Bombyx mori: one gene and its partner. Each later gene encodes a partner of the first gene's protein in a complex. Links are inferred from orthologs where the notes say so. Each region holds a gene or a part of one and is shown on either strand. Other genes may lie near its edges.

Region 1 (3,942 bases):
TAATATAAAAGCATATTATGTTTTTAAAGTTACTTCACTTTTTTAACTCTTCCTAAGCATCATGACTATGGAAAATTGACCAGAATTGGCCAGAAAATGGGCATAGCAGCATTCTCATATTATTCTTATATTATTCAGTATATTATATACCAGAGTACTGTGACTTCCATTCATTAAAAGTATTCTATGGACTGTGTAAAACAACACAGGCCACCCCTACCGCACTAAATGACTCCCCTGCACTCAACATTAAGTGCTGGCAGTCAACATTAACACAGGCCACCACCCTAGCTCTTTCTGCCAAGAAGTAGTCATGCACTCCAATTGAAGGATGAGGCAGCTTTTATACCATACAACTGAGACTGCGACTTCATGTCTCAAAGTAGGTCATCCGGTAACTACTTCAGCAAGTGGACCATGAGCTTGTTCACAAGTCAACATATTAAAAAAAAAATTGTGATAATTTAAACAAATCTAAGTTGAACTATTTAATATTGAAATTGTTTAACTTGAGGAATGCCTATGTAAGACTAGTTATAACATAAATTGAAAAAGTTATATAAATAGGTAGTTAAGAGTTTTATATGTTCTCACTACCGCTGCCATATGCATGAGAGAAAAAGAAAGATTGATTGGCACCACAACGCGTTACGCAATGATGCGGTTTACCCTCCCATAAGAAGTTATCACTTCAAAATATTTGGACAGTACTTACTTCTTTCTTATCAAGTTCCGCGTACCAATCATACACATCATCGTATTTCTCAGCCTCACACAACGACAAGTCGGTCATAATCCTCAGATCGTAGGCGGTGCATTTTATACGATCCTCTCTTGTCACGTGCACTGATCTCTGCTTATTATCATAGAGCGACCTGGGAATATTGTAAATGAGGCATTTAACTGTTTATTGATTTCTCAGATGGTTAATTTAATGGCTCATTTGACAAGCCTTTCAAAATGAAAGGAAGAAGGAATTATTACTACTTTGTGAAAGAAATAAATTGGAAGCAAACAGTGGAACAAGAATGACATCATCATTGGATATTGGATGAGCATCTCAACACCGAAACTAGAGCACATTTACAGTAGAGAGCCAGTCTGAATACCAATCCTCCTCACATAGTCTGAGCCTGGGCACCCATTAAAATTTCACCTTGATTTCATTTTGACCTTGACACACTCTGTATTAAAAACACTAGAACAACAATCACGTATTTAAATATTTTTAGCAGAATTTGACAGAGCCAAGACAACATTAATTCCACAACACAAATAATACACTCACCCTCGTATCTTATAAGCTTCTTCATAGACCAGCCTGGTTGCAATGAAATTTGAGTATTCCACAGCAAGGGTGTTACGTTCAGATGCAATTGCAGCGAGACGAGCACCCCCTTCAGCTGTGGTAAACTTGTAAATTGATGGCTCCACCATCTGAAATTACAGTTGGTAATTTGCAGTATACATGTATTGTCTTCAAATGTAATGACAAACATCATATTATATTAAAGTACACAATTGGTCTCAAAAATTTTGTTTTATTGTAGATAAAAAGAATATATAATTGTTACCAGCAGATTTGCCTGTATGGCCAAGGAAATGTGACAAGTTTTCTAAAGATAATGACACAGATTCCCCAGAGAATGAGATGTTTTTTTGAATAAAAATGAGCGCTATGTTACTCTTTTAATACAATCAATTTAAATAAAATCATGTCAAACGTGATCTTAATCTTTCTTTTAGCATGAAAGAATAACAAAAAAAAACACTTTCAACGAAATAAAAATAATATGGATTTAATTATCTAGTATTGTGTGAATTTAGTAGTGGATCTAATAACTAATCACTGCAACTACTGTACTCTGGGGGTGATTTTCAAACCTGATCGAAAACATAAGATATTCTGGGTCTGGGTTAGGTTGTTATTGTCTCAAATATTCAGTAAGCAGAGTTCTGAATCGTATCTCTGCTCAAGGTTTTTAAATATGGAACACAATTTAGTTTTAGAACTCGTTAATTATGACCTTATTTATTTATCTTCGAGGATCAGAATGGCGTATCTAAGCAACAGTTAGTTTACTACATAGCACCCAATAAACGTTTTTAAGTGCGTAGGTTAGTTTATCTTAGAGTTGATTTATTTGGTTTTTAAACTTACAGTTACTATTTCGTTTCCTTTAAATATAATTCACGACATAATATACCATTTTTAACAGTTAAAAATAATGAAATAGTATCAAATGCAATTAAATTTGTAATAAACAAAACGTATTTACGAAGTTATTATTTATATTACAGCGATTATAGAAATTATTTCTAGGTAAACGTTAATTTTATGTACAAAAGTAAATTATGTGCATTTGGGTTTTATCCGAGAAACCGTTTATGCATTAATATATTTAATTAATATCATGCAACTCTCCTTTTGCACAACATTTGCCATTTGATTCGCGTCTACTGCAAAATCAGATAACAGTGCTGCCAATGTCTTGAACCTTCGATCAACAATAGTAACTATTGATGATCGAAGTCTTGAACATATAAAATACTAGGTTTCATACTTCAGTGTAAAATACACTTTAATTATGAGCCTTGAAGTAAAAATATTTTTCACTACCTACATGCTTTATTTTGTGACTTAGACCTTTTGGGTTCCACCCAAAAAAAATTACATTTGGTGTCTGTTTTTGTATAGTCATATGAGGTGCTGTGGTACTCCCATTTTCATTAGGATCGATGGCAAGGGCAAGATATAATAAAACAATGTTTTCAAGACATAGCATAAAATATAATAATGATAGATGGTAAAAATGACAATGTGTTCGAAGTATATTTCAAATAATGGAATATGAAAAAGAAGGTTACAACATTCCTCCCCATCTACATCTCGTTGATCAGACGGCGGGGTGCCTGTATACGTCGATTACTTCGACGCGGAGCAAATGGCACAGGAGTGGAGACCGGAGCAGGTGAGGAGTATAACTTCGAATGCTGTGAAGGTGAATTTGGAGAAATTTGTACATTTGTAGGTGACTGCGGTGTAGGTAATGGTACTGCTGCCGAATTCTTGTTTTTAGTTAGCCTTTCGTCAATTGTTGTGTCCATTCCAATGTCTGGAGAAGCAGTCGCCGGCAGCATAGAAGAATGCGCCCTTTCATTCCTCGGGGTTTCTGAGGTGGAGGACTCGCGTGGCCTGATGTGATCAGCGTGTCTTCGTTTTTCTAGTCCTCCTGGTGTTGAAACAATATATGAATATTTATGTTTACGGGATGTAATTACCGCTGGTTCCCATATTTTATCATTGCGTGTTTTAATATATACTTGGTCACTTGGTCGGTAACTCGGTGATGTGGTACGAATGTTTTCTTTTACTTGTAAATACTGCATTAATCTTCTTTTGTCTGGCCGAATGTTGGAAAGTATGCAATTCAATTGTCGTCCAAACATCATCTCAGCTGGAGATTTACCAGTGGACGAGTGCGGAGTGTTTCTGTATGTAAACAAAAATTCTAATAGTCGGCGCTCGAGATTTGTGTTGTCTACCGATGCCATTCTATTTTTGAATGTTCTGACTAAACGTTCTGCCAGCCCATTTGTTCGAGGATGATATGGAGATGATGTGACATGTAAAATAGATTGTTTTGTGCAATATTCTTTAAATTCATAAGATGTAAATTGAGGTCCATTATCGGATATAATCATTTTTGGTAAGCCAAATGTACAAAATATGTTATCTAATGTAAGACAAAGTGATCTGGTGTTGATGTGTTTCATCGATCGTATTTCCACCCATTTGGAGAGAGCGTCGCACAATACCAACCAATACGATCCTTCGAACGGTCCAGCAAAGTCGATATGGATTCTCTCCCATACCTCTTCTGGTATGGACCAGGAAAATACAGGAAGTTCAGGATTACAAGGGCGGTTCTGTTGGCATCT
Region 2 (2,605 bases), on another chromosome or scaffold:
CAACATATCCAAATTTATTGAAACATTTTGTTCACAATATTTTTATTATTATTTGCAATGCAATTAATATAAAAAAAAAAACAATTTTAGTGGTGCTGTAGTACCTACATTTGAAGATAAACTAATGGGTAATCCTGTTGGATGGCTTCAGGAGTTGTGTATGTCACGATTCTGGCCACCACCATCTTACCATGCTGAAAACGATGACAATGTTAATAGACGTAAGTTTTCGTACTAATTTTACTTAGGTACTTACTTTAGCAAGGGCTTTTTATTTATTAGCTTAAGTGACTTTTTTTTAAAGTTAGACATTCAACCATAATTTTGAGAAAAAAATAAATTATATGCACTATTCTTCTGAGTCTTCTTGTAGTCATTTGGTTGTCCATTATATTATTATGTTATGTTGTATATTATTTAAGGAAACTATAAAATGATATAATATAATAGAAGTTGTACATTTCTATTACTTTATTTGTAATATTTGATAACAACTAACACTGTATACTTAAGTATATTTAGATCTAAATAAATAGAAAAGAAATATATTTTTTACATTAATATAATTTTACATATTAATAAATCATTGATAATTGATAGTAAAATTTATGTGAAACATAAGAATGTGGGTCTACAATACTACAAAAATTGTAGCAGTTTCAGGTTTGCCCCATGAACGTCAATTTACGATCATTTGCACATTGCTCAAGCGCCGTGAAGTTGGTACAGGCAAGTCAAAGAAATTAGCTAAACGGCAAGCTGCCTACAAGATGTGGCAGGCCTTACAGGACAACCCACCAGAATCCTTCCAGAATGATGATGAGGTAAAGTAATATTAATTTTACTACTATATCGCATAAACTCACTTCAATATAGGATATAAGGGAGCTGTTTCCGATGCTGAAATGGAACTGCTTGATTAAGGGCTTGTATTCACAATTTGATGACATTGATAACACAACTAAAACTAAAAAGTTTTTTTTTTTTTTTTATTGCTTCTATGAGTGGACGAGCTCACAGCCCACCTGGTGTTAAGTGATTACTGGAGCCCATAGACATCTACAACGTGAATGCGCCACCCACCTTGAAACATAAGTTCTAAGGTCTCAGGTATAGTTACAACGGTTGCCCCGCCCTTCAAACCGAAACGCATTACTGCTTCACGGCAGAAATAAGCAGGGTAGTGGTACAAACCCGCGCGGACTCAAGGTCTAATATTACTCAGGAACTTTAAAAGTAACTTCAGAGTACTAGGTGATTTGCCTGTTAGACTTGTAACTCCGAATGCATATGTTAAAGTTCATATTTCATGTTCTCTGTCTGATTCAACCATATTGAGGCTAGATAAGTTTTATTAATAATAAAAGTATATGAGCCAGACTGGCAATAGCAGTTTGTTTTTTTACTAGTAAAATTGGTATTTGTATGTATGAAAAAAGAGGAATAATTTATAGTCAGTTAAAAAAAATTGTGAAGCCAGAGTGTAATATAATGCCTTGTGTATCAACAGAATAATTACCTGAAAATTAATTACAATTATTTGATAAGTTGTCTTGGTGTTGTTTGAATGTACTTACCATCAACAGTTTATTTCAATTATTATAAATAATTAACTTCATGTAATAGTTGTCAATATCCATCAATTGATTTTTGGAACATTCCCCTAAAATTGTTATTGTTGTTCGCACTTGGCCAGGTATTTTACTATCTTTCGATTAGGTTACAGGCCTGAAACAACAGAAGAGTCGGTTGACAATAAAAGTTTTTTTTTTATGTTATAGGGCGGTGTTGCGGCCCGTTATGCCGATTTGAAAGATAGTAAAATCTCCACATTGACCACGAGCCATAGCCATAAAGTGTCGCAGTTCCACAAACATCTCAAACAGTCTGTTGGCCCCAACCTGGCCAAGTTGCAGGTATGAAACAGTTGTTTTGCATGAAAGTATCAATTTTTGGCATGAATGTTGTCATTTGAAATATTAATTTATTTAATTATAAAACAGGTGACACCACTAAACAATAAGGATTTTAACTTCGTTCAGTTCTTGCAAGAAATAGCATCAGAGCAATCTTTTGAGGTGACCTATGTCGACATAGAAGAAAAGTCTATGACTGGTCTATGTCAGTGTCTTGTCCAGCTTTCCACATTGCCAGTAGCTGTATGCCACGGAGCCGGCCTCACCAGCAAGGATGCCCAGTCATCTGCTGCTCAGAACGCCTTGGAGTATCTCAAGATTATGACCAAAAAGTGAAATTTTCAACATCTTACGACATCAGCAAAGACCAGTGCGACGACCTATGCATTTGATCTATGGGCTCTAACGTTATGAGATTTAATTTTAATGCAGGCCATATCACTATGTGTTTTGTATTGATGTCGTTAGGTTTTGAGCCTTCATATTGTTGCATCACTTTCCATATGAATAATGGCATTAATAGTACGCATCTATGTACCAATAGTACTTTGGGCTATGCTTTATAACTGGCATGTTTGCAGTAACCAACTTGTTTTTTTTTTTTTGGTTAATTTATGGTAGGCAGTTTGAAACTTATAGCTAAGATAAGTGAACGAGCTCACGGCCAATCTTGTGTTAAGGAGTTACTG

The links.
Region 2: the proteins of endoribonuclease Dcr-1 (region 1) and Loqs are in contact, whole or in part, in a cryo-EM structure (PDB 8DGJ), measured with the Drosophila melanogaster proteins. The link is inferred for Bombyx mori from reciprocal best matches to the Drosophila melanogaster genes Dcr-1 and loqs. Residues at the interface, in NP_524453.1 of Drosophila melanogaster: His245, Phe248, Asp251, His252, Arg253, Asp255, Glu258, Ile259, His303, Tyr306, Gln307, Glu310, Lys311, Lys313, Arg320, Leu323, Cys326, Leu327, Ser329, Thr330, Ile333, Gln334, Tyr336, Ser337, Leu338, Glu340, His341; in NP_609646.1 of Drosophila melanogaster: Thr358, Gln359, His360, Ser361, Lys363, Val364, Phe367, His368, Lys372, Ile414, Glu415, Glu416, Lys417, Thr418, Phe419, Gln422, Gln424, Pro433, Val434, Gly435, Val436, His438, Ser440, Asn454, Tyr458, Ile461, Met462, Lys464, Lys465.

The regions. Positions count from the first base shown.
Region 1 is NC_085117.1:4,311,670-4,315,611, reverse strand, and holds the start of endoribonuclease Dcr-1, read right to left. Parts: upstream 2,507-3,942; 5' UTR 1,885-2,506; intron 1,438-1,884; coding exon 1,289-1,437; intron 876-1,288; coding exon 716-875; intron 1-715. UniProt on the Drosophila melanogaster protein: Endoribonuclease which functions in microRNA- (miRNA) gene silencing and, independently of its ribonuclease III activity, also acts in the short interfering RNA- (siRNA) gene silencing pathway.
Region 2 is NC_085114.1:6,389,794-6,392,398, reverse strand, and holds part of Loqs (loquacious), read left to right. Parts: intron 1-90; coding exon 91-221; exon of another isoform or gene 222-536; intron 537-654; coding exon 655-824; intron 825-1,781; coding exon 1,782-1,916; intron 1,917-2,003; coding exon 2,004-2,252; 3' UTR 2,253-2,605.